Mytilus edulis: one gene and its partners. The protein of the gene in region 3 interacts with the protein of the main gene of each other region in a pairwise test. Links are inferred from orthologs where the notes say so. Each region holds a gene or a part of one and is shown on either strand. Other genes may lie near its edges.

Region 1 (7,189 bases), on a different chromosome or scaffold from region 3:
TGTCACTTTATTTTGAACAATTGAAAAAAACATATTCATAGCAAAACACTTTACCAAAACATAATTAAGATTTATTCAACGCAAAAAACATTTTCAAAATGTCAATTTATCATATTTATTAGGAAAGGAAGAAAAAAAATATTTATAGCTTTTAGCAAAACACCTAATGGCTATTTGTCTGCAATTACTTGACATAAATATTTGACACCACATTTGGAAAAGTGATTGTTATATGGTGTCAAGGTCAAGAGGCGCAAATTCTAAGGTCAAGCAGTGCAGAATTCCAAATATCAATAAATTGTTTTAGACACTAACCAAAACTAAATTACAAAATTTTTAAACACAAAACCAATAAAAAGGATGCCAATGTGTATTGTGCAAAAGTGAAAGAGGGCAAACATGGAGTCAGCGCCTGGTTAAATGGGCACCTAGTCAGGTTTTGAGGTGAAAACACAGTCATTTTCGGTAGGTCTTTTCACCACTGAACACCCCAAAAATGTATTTTATCATTATAAATGTGATCTCAAAAAATTATTTAAGTTATTTTTTCAACAAATCATAAGATTAAGGGACCAAATATCTACATAGAACAGAAAAGGAGAGTCTATAACACCACACTTTTTGAACTCTGCAGACCACAAATATATTTTTTTTTCTCCATTTTTTCCCTTCTATGACTATGTCTTCAATAAAATATTTAATAGAAACAAATATCAAAATATAACTGATGAAATAGATCAAGGATACTTGAACTGATTACTATTAAATTATAAATGTATTTGTATTTTATTATTTATACTGTACACACACCGTGAATCCGGAAAAAATTATGCATCCGGAGACCTTTTTCTTTATATTGATTTTAGACTTTAACATACAAATAATGCTCATGAAACTCTTAATATTGATGAAAATAAACGTAATTTGAATTATTTTATCATTTTATTGTAATGCAGGTTTGAAATGGCCATAATTAGAAAAATGACGTTTGTGTACAATACTTTTCAATAACAATGGAAACTTATCTTTAGAAATGATTGTTATTTAAGGTTCATCATAACAAACGGACAAATATGGCTGTATTTACATGCCAAAAATTTCTCTGAGTACAGACTTACCTGTGAAGTTGGAAAAGTTTTAATGCCTGGCATCCACTAGATATAATAAAGTTAAATGCATTTTGTGTTTCAGAAAGATAAAGTCTCTTTTGGAATATGATGGGCATTCTTTTTTCCTTCATGCAAAAGGTCTGAAAATTATCTAAGTTGTGGTACAACTATGAGATGCTCCCTCAGGTAAAAAACCGGTTTGTATTGTTTTGATTGTCCTTAATTTACATGGACAAGAGGTATCTTCACAACTACAGGTGAGTTAAAGAGTTCATATGAGTCAGTGAGTGGACAGTATCAAAGTAATTCAGGTGTTTGTTTATTTTTACACCTTCTGCAGAAAGGGAAAAAAAATGCCCAGCAAAAACCAAAAAAAGATTTTATCTTTCTTTAACACAAAATGCATTTAACTTTTATATATCTAGTGGATGCTAGGCATTAAAACTTTCCAAACAGCAAAGGTAAGTCTGTACACAGAGTAGTTTTTGAGGTGAAAATACGGCCATATTTGTCCATTTGATATGATGAACCTTAAAAGAGTAGGGAAAACGTATTCTGCACTAATTTTGAACGCTGGTAATAGCGTAGTGATGTCAATGTGGAGTTTTCTCATGTGATAAGTACAAACACATATAACGAACGAACCAACATAATTTGCAACAAGATGACTGATAATTTGTAGACTACGGTAGGATATTTACATTTTTGTGCTAATAAACATGATAAATATTGTGCTTTTTTTATTGTCCAAATCTTTACAAATACTTATAGCTATCTAAACGTATTGGTGTGGATAGTAAATCACACATACAAATGTAATTAGATAGAGTGTGAGTTCGTGGTCTAGTGGTTAAGACCGATGGCTACAGTGCTGAAGGTCTCAAGTTCGATTCTCACTCGGGGTGCTAAAAATATCAGTACATCAGAAGGGTAATTTTCACCCTCTCACACACATCTCTGGTACCCAGACCGGAGTTTAAACTAGAATGGGTACTTAGGGGGCCGTGGTGTAGTGGTTAGTGCATCGGACTACTAACACAAAGGTTCCTGGTTCGATTCCCGTTTGGGATGAAAATTTTAGGAACTCAATTTTCGGCTCTCCCTTGACACCATCTGCGAGTATGGTCTTGAGGAAACGATGATAGTCCGTCGGAAGGGGACGATAAATGGCTGACCCGTGTTAAGAGAGAGCCATATCTCTTGCACGTTAAAGACACCCTTGTAGATTTCGAAAAAGAGTAGGCTAATGCCGCTACAAGGCAGCACTTGCACCCGCAAAGTGGAAAGGGATTAATATAAGTTGCAAAACTTGTTTCCCAATCCACTATAAATAAATATGTTTAAACTAAAGGGGGCCTCGGTTGGTCAAAGGTGTCCCCCCTACTTTGACCTGGAGATCAATCTTCTGATATCTCTCTGGTTTGTCTGTTTCCACCGAGTGGCCCCGGTGGTTCTCTCCGAGTACTTCGGCTTCCTCCACAATAATAACAGACTTCCCTGTGTCTTACACGCTCCCTTGGGCGGTGTTGGGTGGGGATTGTTCTGGTGGTGGGATAATATTGTAAAGGACACATCTCCATTAATCCTTAGGGAGTGTACATGGATCCGCTGTACCCTTGCAGTCAATCAAGGGGTGCGTCTAAATTGGCGGAATCTCGAGTACATACATACATAGAAACAAGTGCCTGTGCAAAAGGGACATAATTTTTTGGAACTTGCTGTGCTTTTATACCTTTTCTCTGTCTACTGGAGCTTCTGTCTCCTTCGGCTGTTCTTCCACAACGGATTCGACAGGCATTTTAAACTTTAAATACTATATTGCCTCTGAATTAAAAATAAACAGTTATTGTTCAAACCGGCAAGCTTTTTTTACAAGGGGAAACAACTTTTGTATGACGACAGTGCAGTGTTCATTACGTTACAGATATTGAGAAGTATGCCAAAGATAAATTCACTCTCTGGTTTTGTTAAGCAATTGATTTTAATCAAATCCATTGAAAAAAAATATTCAGAGAAAATCACAACCAAACAAAAATAAATAATTAGAAATAAATTATCAGGTTTAGAAATAAACTCAATCTAGACTCAGTTTCAACACTTTACTGTAAAATATTTGAAAGGGAAGTTACTCTAAATCCCGCGAAATTTATGAAGTAATCACTAACAGTACATTTAAAAAAAGACATACTAGATCATAACAGATTACAAGATTAGTCATAAAAAGTAACTTTTGTGGTTAGTGATCATTAGTGAAAAGTTGACACAAAAGGCGTAATGAAACTGTCATGAATTAATTAAGGGTAATACAGAACTTTTACAACAAGGAGTTATGAGGGGGAGGACAGGGAGAAAGGGGGTAGGAGGAATCTGGGTCCGTTCGCGCCCATTCACGTTCGCACCAACTAATGTTCGCCCCCTTTCACTTTCGCACCCTACATGTTCGCACCCAAAGTCTGTTAGCACCCTACATGTTCGCGCCCAATTTTAATTGGTTTTGTGTTTGATAACTTTGTAATCAAATTTTTGTCAAGTGTATTCTAATAAGTATAATTGTTGTCATCGTCTCAAAATAAAGTGAGACAGCATTTTGTTTGTGTTGATCAAATCTTAATCCTGTTTTGGATAGTGTATTGTTAAAAAAATTAATAATCCTTTCTAAATAAAGTGGGATTCTGTCAACGTTTTATTTTGTGCTGAATAACTCTTAATCATGTTTTGGTTAGTGTATTGCTGTAACTTTTGTTTCAAGTTGACTTGTTTTAAAATGAAAGGAGATTCTGACTACGTTTTTTTCTTCTGTGTTGAATAAATGTTATCATGTTTTGGTTATATAAATAGTGTATTGCTATATTTAATTGTGTGATTGTTTCAGGTCAAAGGGACCAAGCTGTTAAAAACAATTATCCGTTTTGTGTTTTTCATTTAAAATCTTCAAAGTTTTACTCATATTAAGCTATAAAAACATTCAGTATTTACACCAAAGCAACTTTAAACAACAATCATAATTTTCCAATTATTCAACTGGAATGTGAATTAAAATTGGGCGCGAATGTGTAGAGTGCGAATGGACCTTGGGTGCGAACGTGCGAGGTGCGAACGTGTAGGATGCGAAAGTGTTTTGGGCGCGAACGGACCTGATACCGGGTAGGAGAAAGGAGAAACGGGGTGGGAGAAAGGAGAAAGGGGGTAGGAGAAAGGAGAGGAAGGCTGGGAGAAAGGAGAAAAAATAAAATATCTCTCCTTTTAAAAAATGATCTAATATTTCAAGAAAAAATATCTCAAAAGGAGATGTTTTATTCTAATGGGAGAAAGGAGAACGGGGGTAGGAGAATGGAGAAGAGGGGTGGGAGAAGGGAGAAGGGTACCCCCTGTCCTCCCCCTCAGTTATTAGAAAAAAACAAAAAAACAAAAAAACTGAGAAAATAACAAGTATTTGACATAACAAAAATTTATAAATAAATTATTCTGAAAAAAAACTAACCAGGCATGTGCCTGAAAGTAAACATGGTTTTTTGTAACTGAAGAAGAAGGAAAAGATCCTTTAAATTTAAACTGAGACTACTATGATCATTATAATTATTATACAGTTGAGGGCTATTTTGAGAGGAGTAAAAAATTGGGAGGATTGGAAGACTTGGCTAGAAAAATATAATCCTGATCTTGAATCTTTTGAAAATAGCTATTGTGACCCTGTTACCGAATAACAAAAATGGGTTATTCCTCTTGATTTAACATGAATGCTATTGAAAATCTGTATTTTTGAAACTGAGTATTCAGTGCCAAAACATATTCATAGAGTGCAAAAAATGTTGAAAAAAAAGAACATCTGATTGTCCTTTATTTTGCCAAGTGAACAATCAAGGCTTTTATGAGCCTCTTGTTCTTTAGTCGTTTACAATATTCATTTTAGTGTTAAAGAATATGATGAGAAATAGATAGAATTAATGATAAATGTATATTTTTGTTTGCAGGAATTCCTTAGTGAGATGGACTGAAGGAGTTATTGTCAAAAAACACAAAACTGTTAGGTAAATATTTTGTAAAATTAAACTCATATATATGACACAACAGTCTGATTAGTCCTGATTAGAACCAGCCCCCACTATTTACTTGTTTCCACTAACGCAAGTGGATAGTGTGGGCTGGTTTTAATCAGACTGATGACACAAGATAACATGTATGGTCTGCACTTCTGTAAATATAAATTAAACCATGATAATACCCATAGGATCTCCTTTTATGGCTAAAACTGTAGTTTCCTAACCAAGTATATCCTGAAATGAAAAGTTGAGATGCACTGTTATCAATGATTATTATTTGCACATGTCTCATAGGGCTGTGCGGCATAATTAAGATATGTATATATGCATTGAATATCTAAGGGTTTAAACTTATACTTGAATTCTGTTCTTAAAGTCTCTCCCTTTACTTTCAGTCTTCCTGAAAATTCAATTTGACTGGTATCTAACTGTAACACTAAGACATAAACATGTCAAATTTTCAAGTTGTGTCTCAATGAGATGAAACATGAAGAAGGAATCCAGAAGGTAAACAGAACAAAATACCTATATAATCTTTCAAAATGGGCATGGTTTGTAAATCAGCTATTTTTACTAAGTGCAAACTTATATAAGCTATATTTCTGTACATATTCTGTACAAACCACATCAAGATTATTCAAAATGCAAACTAGACATTTTATCAATGAAACTAAAAGTATAATACCAGAGTAAATATTTTTATCACTTATGATAGTATTTGTTCCAAATTTAGCATGATGGACTAACATTATGGTATATATACATAGTTGGTTATATATTTGAATGTCATTGTGATATTTGTAGTTATTTGGTTTAATTTGTTTGAGGATCTAAATGGGAGATTCGTGTTATGTGTTCTGATGCCCTCTTTAAATAATGTATAAACTACTACTGAGTACTCTATTACAAATGTTTTATAAAGTTAAACTATGCTAATTAGAAAAATTGACCTCCCCTTTTTCTGAATATAAAAAGACCTGCTAGGTTTTATCTGATGACCTCAAATGTTTGTTGAATAGACTACTTTCGAGTTATGTCCTCCACAGGAAAAGTTTGTCAATTTTGTGCATCTTTATTACGTCATTTACCAGATAGAAGGAAGTGCCTGTATCCCTGCTCTCTTCAAGTTTATCTAGAATCTTTGTGATTGTCATTATGCAGGATAACCTAGAAATAATGTTTGTTCTTTTTAACATTGTTACTTAATCACAATTTCCTAATGACAGCAGTGCTGAATCTTAATTAAAAGAATTTAATTTGCCTAAAAATTCATGCAAAGACGTTTTATATTTTGATGGAAATGCAATAAACATGAAATTTGTCTATTTGGCAGCAAAAAGGGGATTTCTAGTGTTTTGATTCCCTAACTTTGGGAGCAAACATACATGCTTGCTTATCCTTATTTTTATCAACATGTGACATCCCTTCAATACAGTCAAGTGGTTTATTGTATACCAAGCTTAATCTGTGTGTTTATAATCACTAAATTATAATCATATATTCTTAAATCTCATAAATTTTCAAAAATATATTTAAAAACCAGTGTTAGGTTTCAAAAATATTTTAACCATTATAAGGCTAAGTTGTAGTTGCTACTGATTTTAAGGATATTGGGGTTTATCAGGGTTGGAAAATCACCTTTTTTGACAGTGAGCTTTAAACATGTAATGCAGACCCCCTTAAACCATAGAACTGATTATCAATTACCACCTAATGTAAAACGATACTTCATTTTGCCTTGAACATCACTTTTTATTGGCCTTTCTGAATCTGACCAAAATGGCTATTTTCTATGTATGCATAAATTAACATTATATTTATTTGAAAATTAACACATTTTTTTAGATAATAAACTGTATTACCATATTGAACAATGTTGTAAAATGTAAATGTTTTATTTTTAACAATAATGATACTTTTAATTTTAAATGTTCATTGTTACTTTTTTTTAACAGGTTATATAATCTTACTTGTAATTTGAATAAAAGTGTCTTTTCACTATCGGTAGATTTATCGATATTTGTCTTTCTGAGGTATTCA
Region 2 (7,114 bases), on a different chromosome or scaffold from region 3:
TAGAGGTATAGGGGAGGGTTGAGATCTCACAAACATGTTTAACCCCGCCGCATTTTTGCGCCTGTCCCAAGTCAGGAGCCTCTGGCCTTTGTTAGTCTTGTATTATTTTAATTTTAGTTTCTTGTGTACAATTTGGAAATTAGTATGGCGTTCATTATCACTGTACTAGTATATATTTGTTAAGGGACCAGCTGAGGGACGCCTCCGGGTGCGGGAATTTCTCGCTACATTGAAGACCTGTTGGTGACCCTCTGCTGTTGTTTTTTATTTGGTCGGGTTGTTGTCTCTTTGACACATTCCCCATTTCCATTCTCAATTTTATTTTCCTTTTATTAAGATACCTCCATGTCTTGTAGTTTTTTTTTATTTTGTTTGGGTGTTATCTCATTGCCGTTTATCCATACTCTTCTTTTATAAAGATGCATTCATGTCTTGTGGGTTTTTTTTTTTAAATTTTGTTTGGTTGTTATCTCATTGTCGTATATCCATATTTGTCTTCTCCTTTTGTTAAGATGCCTCTATGTCTTGTAGTTTATATTTTGTTTGGTTGTTATCTCATTGCCGTATATCTATACTCCTCCTTTTATTAAGATGCCTCCATATCATGTGTTTTTTTTTATTTTGTTTGGTTGTTATCTCATTGCCGTATATCTATACTTCTCCTTTTATTAAGATGCCTCCATATCATGTGTTTTTTTTATTTTGTTTGGTTGTTATCTCATTGCCATATATCCATACTTCTCCTTTTATTAAGATGCCTCCATATCATGTGTTTTTTTTTATTTTGTTTGGTTGTTATCTCATTGCCGTATATCCATACTTCTCCTTTTATTAAGATGCCTCCATATCATGTGTTTTTTTTATTTTGTTTGGTTGTTATCTCATTGCCATATATCCAAACTTCTCCTTTTATTAAGATGCCTCCATGTCATGTGTTTTTTTATTTTGTTTGGTTGTTATCTCATTGCCGTATATCCATACTTCTCCTTTTATTAAGATGCCTCCATATCATGTGTTTTTTTTATTTTGTTTGGTTGTTATCTCATTGCCATATATCCAAACTTCTCCTTTTATTAAGATGCCTCCATGTCATGTGTTTTTTTATTTTGTTTGGTTGTTATCTCATTGCCGTATATCCATACTTCTCCTTTTAGTAAGATGCCTCCATGTCATGTGTTTTTTTATGTTGTTTGGTTGTTATCTCATTGTCGTATATCAATACTTCTCCTTTTATTTAGATGCCTCCATGCCTTGTAGTTTTTAACCGGATTTTTGTGACAAAAATGTCGGTTATTGATTTGGGGATGTACGGCGGGCGGTCGGGCGGTCGGGCGGGCGGCAAACAAATGTTGTCCGTGCATTTACTCATGAACCATTCATCCAAAGCTTTTAAAATTTTAATATGTTGTTACTGACAACAAAATGAAGGTGAAGTTCAAGAATGACGATTTTGACTTTTACCGTTCAGGAGTTATGGTTCTTGAAAGATTGAAAAATGGCGTTTCCAGTCGTGTCCGTGCATTTACGCATGAACTGTTCAACCAAAGCTTCCCAAATTTTAATATGTTGTTACTGATGAAAAAATGGAGGTCAAGTTCAAGAATGAGGATTTTGACTTTTACCGTTCAGGAGTTATGGTTCTTGAAAGATTGAAAAATGGCGTTTCCAGTCATGTCCGTGCATTTACTCATGAACTGTTCACCCAAAGCTTTTCAAATTTTAATATGTTGTTACTGATGACAAAATGGAGGTCAAGTTTAATAATGTCGATTTTGACTTTTACCGTTCAGGAGTTATGGTTCTTGTGATATTGCCAGGACACAAATAAATGAATAAATGTTAATCATATTGAAATCCGGTTTGCTGTCGTTGTGACAGCCTCTTGTTTTATTTTGTTTTGTTGTTATCTCATTGCCGTATATCTATACTTCTCCTTTTATTAAGATGCCTCCATATGCATGTCTTGTGGTTTTTTGTTTTGATGGCCGGTTGTTGTCTCATTGCCTTATATCCATACTTTTCCTTTTATTAAGATGTCTCCATGTCTTGTATTTTTTTATTTTTTTTTTGGTTGTTATTTCATTGCCGTATATCCATACTTATCCTTTTATTAAGATGCCTCCATATGCATGTCTTGTGGTTTTTTTGTTTTGATGGCCGGTTGTTGTCTCATTGCCGTATATCCATACTTCTCCTTTTACTAAGATGCCTCCATGTCTTGTATTTTTTTTTATTTTGTTGGGTTGTTATCTCATTGCCGTATATCCATACTTTTCCCTTTATTAAGATGCCTCCATGTCTTGTATTTTTTTTTGTTTTTTTTTTGTTGTTATCTCATTGCCGAATATTTATTCTTCTCCTTTTATTAAGATGTCTCCATGTCTTGTACATTTTTTATTGTTTGGTTGTTATCTCATTGCCGTATATGCATACTTCTCCTTTTATTAAGATGTCTCCATGTCTTTAAGTTTTTGTTATTTTGTTTGGTTGTTGCCTCTCATTGTCGTATATCATACTTCTCTTTTTATTAAGATGCCTCCATGTCTTGTGTTTTTTATTTTGTTGGGTTGTTGTCTAATTACCGTATACTCATACTTTTCCTTTTATTAAGATGCCTCCATATCTTGTATTTTTTTTATTTTTTTGGGGGGGGGTTGTTTTCTCATTGCCGTTTATTCATAATTCTCCTTTTATTAAGATGCCTCCGTGTCTTGTGTTTTTTTTGGTTTTTTTTTGATGGCCGGTTGTTGTCTCATTGCCGTATATCCATACTTTTCCTTTTATTAAGATGCCTCCATGTCTTGTAGTTTTTTTTATTTTAGTTGGTTATTATTTCATTGCCGTATATCCATACTTCTCCTTTTATTAAGATGCCGCCATGTCTTGTTGGTTTTTTTTTCATTTTGTTTGGTTGTTATCTCATTGCCGTTTATCCATACTTCTCCTTTTATTAAGATGCCTCGATGTCTTGTGGTTTTTTTTTATGGCCGGTTGTCTGTATCTCATTGCCGTATATTCATACTTCTCCTTTTATCAAGATGCTTCATTTAATTAAGTATGTCTGCAGTCATCACCGTTGACTAGTACCTAATCTTTCATTGGAAAAGACACTCTAGACAGTTATCACAAGTTACTTGACTTCTAAATAGGACTCAGTGGCGGATCCAGAAATTCAAGTTTCATAAGTGGGGGCCCACTGACTGACCTAATTAAGAGGGGGCCTGCTCGAGTGTCGCTTCAGTGATTCCCTATATAAGCAACACAGGCACTTGTTTCTATCCATACGAAGGTCGACTATCCATATAAATGGATAGTCGACCTTCGTATGGATAGAAACAAGTGCCTGTGATAAGCAACCGATTTTTTCCCCAAAAAGGGGGGCCCGGGCCCCCTGCCCCCCCCCCCTAAATCCGCATCTGGGACTGGTCGAACAAAAATATTACATCATGACACAATGTAATTCTTTTAAAATATTAAGAACTATTTAAAAGTAAGTTCAGTGGTCGAACGTTTTCAATACTGATAAAACTCAAGTTAAAACTTATCCCGATAAAATATATCCAAAAGAAACCATGTCATCATGAATTTCTACAATTCTAAGACTGTGACAAGTTAGTATACTGAGGGGGTGGACAGGGGTAAGGGAGACAGGGAGAAAGGGGGTAGGATAAAGGAGAAAGGGGGTGGGAGAAAGGAGAAAGTGGGTAGGAGAAAGGAGAGGAAGGCTGGGAGAAAGGAGAAAAAGTTGGAGAAAGGAGAAAAAATAAAATATCTCTCCTTTTAAAAAATGATCTAATATTTCAAGAAAAAATATCTCAAAAAGAGATGTTTTATTCTAATGGGAGAATGGAGAACGGGGGTAGGAGAAAGGAGAAGAGGGGTGGGAGAAGGGAGAAGGGTACCCCCCTGTCCTCCCCCTCTATACTCAGAGACATATAATACAATACTCGAGGGAAAGTTCCTGTTGAAAATTCTTAAGTATTTAGTCCTTTTGTTTTAATTTTAAATTCAATAAGGGGCTAAATTATTCTTAGATTTAATCAATTAATTAAAATGTTTTCGTGGATACTTTAAATATCTAGTTTCGGATTCGACAAAATTCCAATACAAGTTTATTTTAAAATTATTCCGGGAAGAACTATACTTGATTGTCGTTCGTTGTTAATAGAGGGCGCTGCAATTTAACATCGCTTGACTCGAACAATGGCCTCACAACACAGCAAGAAAAGAGTCTGTTATTATTACGATGGTATGTTCATAAACAATATTTTAGTTTTCGACCTCTCAAATATATCGATTGCTTCTTTAAGGGGACTGAAAGTGGTACTATACTCACTTAATAGGAAAAACTTTTGTTGGAAGCGTCCGTTCCCCTATGCAGGCCCCAAAAAGCCGCTCACGTTTGGATGTAAAAATCTGAAATTATGTATTGTTAAATCATTTTTTATGTTTATTTATGATGAAAGACATATTATATTTGTTCTGGTATTGTTTTGAATTAATTTATTGCAGAGAAACACTAATTATACAAAATCGCGCCTATTTCCTTTGAAAAACTATGGAAGCCCATTTTCCCATGCTCGGCGTACGAAAGTAACAATTTTTTTAAAACACTTTTATTTCAGTTAAAAATCGTTTTTGGCTGAATTATTTAAGGGAAAGAGCATTTTGCAACCCTTATGATATGAAACAAGCATTTTATTACTTTTATTATCAAAAGTTTTGAATTTGCTGATAGAACATTAAAATTCAATCTATGGAAGCCCATTTTTCTTTTATATTTTATGCTATAGTAGGGACCAAAGGACAAAGGATTGTGAAACTAAGATAAATAATGCAATGTCATTGTCTCCTCAAATTATTTTAGGGAAAGGGGTCTCATTTCAAATATGAATCTTCTATTTTTCTAACTCTTTGGTAGCTAATAATATGATTTTGACTATAAAATGAATTATTGTAAGGTGAAATTGAGGCTTGTTATTCAGACTAGAAATTTATAATAAAAAATTGAAATATAATTTAAATAGAATTTTGTTTATACATGTATTTCGTTAAAACTGTAAGACTAAAATAAATGATGAGGCTTTGAATAAGTAGATGACAGATACTAATTTTGTCAGAACTATGGACTTGTTTAATATGTCCAAAGTGATGAGTTGGCTTGCTGAACTTTTCACGAACAATTCTTTGTGAAAACCATGCTCTAGCTTTTTTTAATGTCCTGAATTTTGGATAACCAATCTAATATTCTTGTACAGCTATATTTCCATATTCAGTTTCTCACTTGAAATCATAATTGAATAATTAAATATTTCCATTGAATAGGAGACATTGGAAATTACTACTATGGCCAAGGTCATCCCATGAAGCCACACAGAATACGTATGACACACAACCTTATACTTAATTATGGACTTTATAGGAAGATGGAAATTTATGTAAGTACAAGTATAAATAATGTTGATCAATAAAATTTCTGCAGTCTCTACAAGTATAAATAATATTATATTCCAAACTTTTTTCCTTCAAAACGATCTTTATTATAAATAGTATTGTATTGTACACTACATTTATTTGACATACATTGTAGTTCATTAATATTTTGGTGGATGACATTGTGACCCACAATCTTCTCAGTTATTTTTCTAAGAGCATTGGTGCATTAATTGATGACTATGTAGTTTTTCATATTATTAAACAGAAAATGAAGAGACGCAGATCTAGAAAAGTTTTTTTATATAAATTATTATTTTTCAACAGAGACCACACAAAGCCACACAAGAAGAAATGACAAAGTTCCACAGTGATGACTACATCAAGTTTTTACGAAGTATAAGACCAGATAACATGTCGGACTACAACAAACAGATGCAGCGATGTAATAATATATAATGTTATTAACTTTATCTCTCTTTAGTAACATCTCTACAGTATAGCCTTTTGAAGCTAATACGGCAAAAATCAAACATCAATCAATTAAAAATCGTCTTTTAATTCAATGCTTAAAATAAGTTGTAACAGTTCAAGAGTTATGCCCCTTTACAGTAACAAATGGAAAAATTGTTGAATGTTTCGTTTCTGTTCTGATTTTTTACTTTAGTTTGTCTTAATCAAATGTTATGTAACTTATACCCAATGCTTTTTACAACAAAAATCAGATCAAGTACAAATTTGGGCAGTCACTTTTTACAGTTCTGGGATTCATATGTCCCTTTCGGACATTATATGCAAGTGGGGGCATCATCTGTGTCCCATTGTGTGACACATTCACCATTTATCCATCATGTCCATACTGGTTAAAGTTTTACTTTTAACAAATTAAATTTTAAATGACCAAGAATAACTAAAATTAAATACTATATGTGTGAATTACAAAGTTACTAAGTAAATTTAATCGTCTGAAAAAAGTGTCTACAGAATAGTTGCTCTCATTTCAGTACTTATTTTTTGTTGAAACATAAATTCAAAGCTGAACATTATTGAAGGCCATAGCAAATAACAGTCTGCACCAAAAACTTTTTCAACTACTAGTCCGAAGACCAATATTCTGACATTTTTCTTATTGGGCCAAACAAAGTTTTGCAAAAACTTACTAGTCCGAAATGAAATTTTACTAGTCTGGGGCATCGGACTAGTGGCTAACCGTGCAGACTGAAAGTTTTTATGAATACTTTGATAATACCGGTCAATTGTACTAATGTAAATAAATGTAAATTATAAGATCTATAAATCTTTTCAGTTAACGTTGGAGAAGATTGCCCTGTATTTGATGGAATGTATGAGTTCTGTCAGCTGTCAACTGGTGGCTCTGTTGGTTAGTATTAAATACTCTGACAAGTTAACGTTGGAGATGACTGCCCTGTTTTTGATTTGATGGAATGTATGAATTCTGTAGATTAGTATCACATATACTCTGACAAGAACAAATTTCTTGTTTTAACATTTTTGAAAATTATATTTTAGAAGTAATTATGCATATTCAAAGTACTAAAACCATTTTATCTGAGTGCAGTATAGTGAACCTGTACCATCAAATGTAGTACATTTATAAGGGTACTCTGGCATGTGGTGGCCTTTTTAGGACTTTCTAGCTATAGGAATGTGATATCTCAAT
Region 3 (7,990 bases):
ATTTTCAACAATTCAATGCAATTCTATTATTACTTCGAGCAAATAAAGCTTATCAGTACAAATATAATATATATTCAAATACAAATATATCATAAATAAATAAATACATAAAACATACATAACTGATAAATGAATACATCCGAGAAGAATGATGATCTATATTAAAGATTGGTAACTTATAACATGCCTGTTCTACGTTTAAATGCATGGAAATTTTTTTTACAAAGGTTACATATGTCGTTTACATTTTCTGTGCTCAACAACTGTATAAGCTTAAATGACGATGGTCGCTTATAATAATATGGCTTTAAGTCATAAGAAACCTCAAATTAAAAAAAATCATGCATATGTCTTTTTATAACTAAATGGATAGTTTTCATTTTACAACTTATGTACATATACTTTTTTCTGAGGAAAATTCTTTAATTTGTCCACATTTAGAAGAAGTTTATTTATTTTTAATTGCTTGCTTGCTTGCTCCTTATTGCATTATAGCAATCACACTGTAAAATTAAATGAAACTCGTCTTCTATTGTATTTAAAGTACAGAGGGTACATTTTTTCTGATCTATTAACACCGTGATATCGTTCTGTTTCAACATATAAGTTACAAGTATATGAAGAATATCTTAATTTTCTCGTTAAATACACTCTAAAATTCACATGTTTAGTAGGTAAAATTGTAAACAAACATTATTTACACAGTATTTATACAAAAAAAATATTTTGGCGAGCCATCCAATAATTGATTCAAGTATTGATTAGCTTGATCAAATATTCTAGTTTTGATCAAATATTTAACAAATGAGACATGTTATTTACCTCAAAAACATCAACACAAATAAACACCCAACGAATGTTTAACCATCAAACTGAATAAAAATGTATGTTTTTACATGTTACTTTATTTATAAGGAAACGGTGTGCAGAATCACATAATATTCTGACTTCTAGTCAAGCTGTCGTTACTGTTATTTCTCCACGTTACATGTTTTGTATTTTTATTGGGAGAAAGGGGGGGGGGGCAGAGCAATATTTTATTATTACGTTTTTGGTATTGTCCGTCACGTGGCCAAACCCTCGACCTCCCTTTTAATAGTGATCACGAGACCTCTGAATCAGTTTTTTTTTTATCAAGAAAAGTATGTAGTCTACATATTTGTTCATTACTCGTTTACAATTATTTATCATTGTAGACTATTCTTGTCCTTTTTTCTTCTTCTTCTGTCATGTCTGTCATGGCGCTATCGATTGTTTTTACTTTGTTAGTTTGAAGATCTCTTTTAAATATCTTCCATCTCTTACTTCTTTTACTGTACTACGTTTATTTATGGGAGTTAGCCTCTTAGAATTTGAAAAAATTCAAAACAAATACATGTATCCCATAAGAATGCGAAACCAATTATAAATATTTCAAAATAACCACTCAAGATCAAGAATCGTATTAAGTACATGTAAAACCACTTAAAATGATAAGTGTTGTGTTTAGCTGCTAGAATATGTCAATGTTATGATCTTCATTTCTGAATTTGAATTGCGCAGGAATGTGATTTTTTAATCTTTGTGATCTCTATTACAATAATGGAGAGTCGAAAGATACAAGGATAATTCAAACTCATAAGTCGAAAAATAAACTGACTAGTCAACGCCATGGTTTAAAATGGATAAAAAAAAACCAGACAATTGTACACAAAATACAAAAGAGAATACATAACGAGTGAGAAACACGAATCCCGCAAATAAAAATAGGGATGATCTCAGGTGCTCCGGGAGGGAAAGCATATCGTACTCCACATGCGGCAATCGTCGAGTTGCTAATTGCAACATTAAAAATACTTCTAATAGTGTTATTACGACATTAGAAACATATCCGCTATCATCTGTGAAACGGGTATATATATATATATATATCATAATATTTCAACAAATTTATGGATGGCGTCCGTATAATTAAAGAGGGGATTATTTCAACTTCACCACTTGAAATTCTTGGTGTAATAGCTTCCTTTTGATCAGCAACCCTTTGTAAAGGAAATCGTGATAGAAAAATACAATATCGTATCAACTGGGAGATATATACTTCGTGTGCAGATTTTTATGGAATTACATAGAAAAGGAAAGTTCACAATTGGGAAGGTGAAATCATCTCTTTTTGTAATAAAATATGTACACGATATATAGAAAAAAAAGGTGTGGTATATATATCATTGCCAATGAGACAACTCTCCACAAGGGACACAAATTGTCACCGTGTGGCCTTCAATATAAAAAAATAAACCGAAGAACTTAATTTTGAGACAACAAAACTATAGGATTCAATAAAAGAATAACAAACAGTCTACAAAATACTACACAGAAAACACATGAATGAGCAAATTAAATCCTCAATTGTGTGAACTCGACCGTATGGCCAAATTATTCCCTCACACACAGTGTTGCTCTCTTCAAGAATAAATACAACTCGTTCGGTTATTTTTTATTTTTAGGAAGAGAAGACGTCGTGATTTTTTCGCTATATACAAGTGCAACCAATGTGGGTTGATCTGTGATAAAAATATTTGATACCGATAAAATAAATCATAAAAGTGGCCTAACAAAAGAGAGGCTAAGGATACCAATACCAAATGGACATTCAAACTCACAAATCGGAAATAAATTGAAAACGTAATAAAGGAACAGACAAACAAATTTTAAAACAGCAGTACACAAATATAACACAAAAAACAAAAAACTGAGCAACACGAACCCCATCAAAAACTTTTGGTTAACTCAGGAGATCTGTGAGGGTAAGCTAATCTAGATCTTACTCCACATGTGGCACCCGTCATGTTCCTCATGTCCCTTTGACATGTTTGATAAGGTAATATTTTTTACGTCGAATAACCGTTTCACAAATGATATCGGATATGTTCCTTACGTCGTAACTACAATCCCCTTCCCTTTCATGAATGTGAATCACCGTGATTTTATTTTATAAATGTATAATGACGACAGATCTCAGAGTCTGTTGACAATATCTATATAGATAGATAAGTATAACGAATTCTACAAAATATATTATTATCCTTAATTAATAATTCACTTACCATCACAATTCTGCATGTGCATCCGTCCATGTCAAGTACTGGTGAAGTCACATGTGTCAACTTTAAGTCTTCTAATCAAGAATTAATCAATCGAAAATAAGAACATACGACATAAAATGTTTTCAATTTTTTGGTTGATAAAAAAGGTACCAAGAGCAGTAATAAGGGCTATATTAAACCAGGGATATCGTTACCATAATTACTTAAAACCTTTACTAAATTTTTCCATAGATATAAAGATTTGGTTTTGAAGTTTGGTTGTACCTGTAGAAAACTTATTTCAAATGGGATAGCACATCCTCATTTTAACGGAAATGTTGTTAACGGTGCCCGGAAATTAGAAATGATCCATGTAAACTTGTTGCTCCTTTAAATAAACTTATTCTTAAAGGTTACCTATTCAACACTGTGATAAGATCATTGAATATTGTTTTATTGGTATGAAAATTTACTTTGTTATAAGTAGATTAAAAGCTAACTAAATATTACTAGTATGTTATATACATATACATTAACATAAATCTACAATCTGTCGATACCTGTAACTTGGCATTGCACAAGGTCATGTTTTTCTTTGGCTATTTATGACGTCTTTACACTAAATCCATTGAATGTTGGATGTGTACGGATTGATTGCTTAGTCTTAGAGGCATGATTTTTTTATTAGTTGTTAATGGCTTTGAACTAGCTGTCAGATAACTGCGAGTACTCTCAGATCTGTTCATTGTGTCTTTTTGTGTCGGGATATATAAGCACCCGGCCACGTCCACTTTTATTTTTTGTCTATCTGATGAGTTAAGCCTTTTTCAACTGATTTGTATAGTTCGTTCTTATGTTGTACTGTTATACCACTGTCCCAGGTTAGGGGGAGGGTTGGGATCCCGCTAAAATGTTTAACCCCGCCACATTATTTATGTATGTGTCTGTCCCAAGTCAGGAGCCTGTAATTCAGTGGTTGTCGTTTGTTTATGTGTTACATATTTGTTTTTCGTTCAGTTTTTTACATAAATAAGGCCGTTAGTTTTCTCGCTTGAATTGTTTTACATTGTCTTATCGGGGCCTTTTATAGCTGACTATATGCGGTATGGGCTTTGTTCATTGTTGAAGGCCGTACGGTGTCCTATAATTGTTAATGTTTGTGTCATTTTGGTCTTTTGTGGATAGTTGTCTCATTGGCAATCATACCACATCTTCTTTTTTTTATCATTTAGTGCATTACATTCTACGTTAGGGTTTTTTTTTCAATCTGAAAAAACGATTATTGTATATTGAGTCCGAATTGGACTATTTACCGGATTTGATATAACATAAGCAACACGAGGGGTGCCACATGTGGAGCAGGATCTGCTTACCCTTCCGGAGCACCTGAGACCACCCCTAGTTTTTGGTTGGGTTCGTGTTGTTTATTCTTTGGTTTTCTATGTTGTGCCATGTGTACTATTGTTTGTCTGTTTGTCTTTTTCATTTTTAGCCATGGCGTTGTCAGTTTGTTTTAGATTTAATTTATGAGTTTGACTGTCCCTGGTATCTTTCGTCCCTCTTTTAGATATTTGAACATTAGTGTACTAATGTCGACTAAATATTTTTCTTTTCTCGTCGACTTACCGAACTCTGAGGAAAAATTTGAACAAGAAAGTCCCTAATCAAATGCCAAAATTAAACCTCATGCAAACACATCAAACGTCGAATTTATGACAAATGTCATATTTCTCACTTGGTTCTTATAATTCATTAATGATACTATATTATCAAAAATGAAAAATTGTATTAAATGATTGGAGAAATTGTGAATTATCAAAATATTAATTGATTTTTAGGAATATATATAATATATATACAGAATTAACGTTTATATAGACAGGATTGTCTGGTTACCGCCGAAGCCATTTCAAACGGCGTATTCAAAGAAGGTAGAAACAAGTTTCCCTTAAAAATATTCGTATAGTAAAAACCAAAGAAAACCGAAAGGAGGAAATAGAAATTTAGCGCCATAAACACACCAAACAACAACGACATAGTATTTTAATCGTTTTCGATATTATAGAGCTCCAACAGAAATAGATTAACCTTAGAGACGGTAAAATTGTTTAACAATCTTAAATGAGAAACACATGACTTATCCCAGTAGGATATAATGGAAGTTTCTTTGTTGTGATGATTTTGAAATTTAAAATTTCCAAATTTTACTGTTGACTGTTGTCGGAATTATTTAAACAAAAAGATTGGATAACAACTCAGCCTATATAAATCCATGCTCATTAAAGATGTATAGAATACTTCTTGTTTGTTGTAGATGAAAATAATTTATAATGAGTTTTCACGTGAAGTATGGACAGGTCAGGAATAACCACCAATTGGTGGATTATACCTCAATTGACGTTTAATCCACCAATTGACATATAATGGTATAGACCAATTGGTGTATAATTCCTTGTTTTTCAAAACAAATTATTCCACCAAAATGGAGCATTGTTTTTTTAAAACCATATTATGGTATGAAAACTTGTTAAACATTCCTATAGTTTAGTAGTGTAACATTGTAGGATTTAATAATGTCCCCAATGAAAAAGTGTCCACCGGACATAATTTCCTAGTAAATACGGGGTCTTGGGACAATATTAACTTATTTATATGTGTCCTGGACACATTTTTCTATGAAAAACTGTCCTCAGGTATGAAAAAGTGTCCCTGAAAGTGGACATAATTAAATACTATACTTCAGCAAGGATTTGTATAGTTAGAAGGATTGGAATCTCGTGAGCTTTTGCATAGACTGTAGTATAACATCTTATGCGACGCAAGATTTTGTGAGATTACCCGTGATGCATCTGGAAAATGATAAACTAGCTCTGATTAATGGCTGACATTTGCATCACCTAAACAAACTGACACCCGATATGTAAGTATTACAATCCATATTTATCAAATTTTATGCTAAAAATAAGAAGTTTAAAATGGTTCTGGCAAAATAAATAACTTTTACGATCGCAGTAAAAGTACACGGCTCCATAGAATGAATTTGCATAATGACCGAAGTGACCTCACCCTATCCCGCCTATTGGGCGGTCCTAACATCATTTTCTTTTTTTATACTTCTTCCTCAAAATACGAAGATGAGTGAAAAAATTTACATTTTCTGAAAGGTATATGATTTGTTCGTGTATTGAGTAAATTTCGTAGTGATTGATGTATTAATTTTCCTAATTTTTCCGTTTCTTTGAGCTGATTACAACAAAAATGGCGTTCTGGAGCGAAAATGGGGGTGGCTTAGGAAAAATGAATAAAGTTCTTCAATTGGCCTAGATTGATGTTCAAACTAGTTTATAAACGTAAAACATTAGTGATAAAGTGTATAGAAGAAAGCTCAAATCGCTAAATTAGGTAATTGTGATACTTTTCTGTCTTGAAAAATCAATGTGGTTCTCAGATGAATCGCAATTTACCAGGCCGAAATTGGGAGGGGATCCAGTTGTCATAATCAGCTGATACTTCCTTTCTGCTTCAACCGAAATGAAATCGTTAAACCATGTGTTTTGAAGTAGTTGAACGTCAAGCTATGTTCCATAGAAAACACCATAGTTGCATGGATGGTAAGTTTTTAAAATGTTCATCCCAATGCTAGGAACTGACCTTCCTAGTAAATCACGTTGTCGTTGTGTACAAATGAATGGGTCATGTCAGAGTGTACTTTTTTTTACTGACGTTAACACATCAACACAGCTCATCTTCTTAAATTATGCATAGGTAGTGCTGTTTTTGTCTTCATTATAAATTATTTCCACCCAGCTTTATTATGCATGGTATTGTTATGGACTCCCTTCATCTCTATCTGTTTATACCACATACATGTATCACATGCATTTCAAGTTAAACATTTGATACAAGGCTACATTATTTTTTTCCTTCAACGGCTTCAAATTATACATTAAAAAGATGTTTTCCTGCAACGAAGTCAAAGAAAAAAAGAAAAATAGCCTTGCAAGTTGTCTTCTTGCTCAGGGTTCTCACTAAGGCGAATCCATGAGTCCTGAACTTTTTTTGGAATTTGTCTGGACTCCCCACTTCCAAAACTGGTGAGTCCACAGATGCATCAAAATTGAAATATTTTGTATAAAATGAACATACATGTAGTTAACACAAATATCATCATTTTATAGCAAAAGTTTAAAAGTGATCTGAATTTAATGTCATTTCATTGCTCTGTTAGGCCATGAAGACTAAAATATTACATTAGAATGCAACAAAATATTTTCTTCTTGCTGTTGGACTCATCATGGCTAAAAATAACGAGTCCCTGGACTCACCTTCAAAAATCCTTAGCGAGAACCTTGTTCCTGCTTAATAGCCGTCAAGCAAAAAAATGTTGTACCCTTTTAGACTGGTGATTTATTATATTTTGTAGTGTACTGTATCTTAATTTTATGATCCATTGCCCCGTAAGATTATAAATCGTTGGCTATTATTCAGTTATTTTATATATATATATTTAGAAAGACACAAATAGTTCCAGTTTTTTTCCTAAATCACTCAATATTAAATTTTCCCATATTTTTTTATTGTTTAATTTCAATATTGTGAAAATATGAAAATTTCAATTTGTCGTTTAAACACCCACATGCATGTTATAACAATGTGCTACATAATTAATGATTCATTTAGGTCCTGCATTACCCATTATGATTTGTAAATGTGTATATACATAGGTTTGTAGTTAAGCAAGCACCATTAAATTAAAGAATGATTTTTTTTGTTTGCGAGAACTTGCGACATCAAATGATACTACAATATTTAAAATATAAAAAAAAATTACAAACATTGCTACATGAAGATAATTCCTGAACTTGCACAAGCTGGCATATATGTAACATAAACCCATAAATTAGAAAACTAACATAAATCTTGCA

Evidence for each region. The genes of interacting proteins can lie anywhere in the genome.
Region 1: the proteins of histone-lysine N-methyltransferase EZH2-like (region 3) and histone deacetylase complex subunit SAP18-like interact in binary tests that used the Drosophila melanogaster proteins (3 or more experiments, as listed by UniProt). The link is inferred for Mytilus edulis from reciprocal best matches to the Drosophila melanogaster genes E(z) and Bin1.
Region 2: the proteins of histone-lysine N-methyltransferase EZH2-like (region 3) and probable histone deacetylase 1-B interact in binary tests that used the Drosophila melanogaster proteins (3 or more experiments, as listed by UniProt). The link is inferred for Mytilus edulis from reciprocal best matches to the Drosophila melanogaster genes E(z) and HDAC1.

What each region holds. Positions count from the first base shown.
Region 1 is NC_092353.1:33,376,764-33,383,952, forward strand, and holds the start of histone deacetylase complex subunit SAP18-like, read right to left. Parts: upstream 3,010-7,189; 5' UTR 2,908-3,009; coding exon 2,842-2,907; intron 1-2,841. UniProt on the Drosophila melanogaster protein: Involved in the tethering of the SIN3 complex to core histone proteins. Interacts with bicoid (bcd) to repress transcription of bicoid target genes in the anterior tip of the embryo; a process known as retraction.
Region 2 is NC_092344.1:100,942,563-100,949,676, forward strand, and holds the start of probable histone deacetylase 1-B, read left to right. Parts: upstream 1-4,105; 5' UTR 4,106-4,203; coding exon 4,204-4,249; intron 4,250-5,325; coding exon 5,326-5,438; intron 5,439-5,760; coding exon 5,761-5,878; intron 5,879-6,739; coding exon 6,740-6,814; intron 6,815-7,114. UniProt on the Drosophila melanogaster protein: Catalyzes the deacetylation of lysine residues on the N-terminal part of the core histones (H2A, H2B, H3 and H4).
Region 3 is NC_092357.1:18,270,101-18,278,090, forward strand, and holds the start of histone-lysine N-methyltransferase EZH2-like, read left to right. Parts: upstream 1-4,979; 5' UTR 4,980-5,163; intron 5,164-7,990. UniProt on the Drosophila melanogaster protein: Polycomb group (PcG) protein. Catalytic subunit of the Esc/E(z) complex, which methylates 'Lys-9' and 'Lys-27' of histone H3, leading to transcriptional repression of the affected target gene.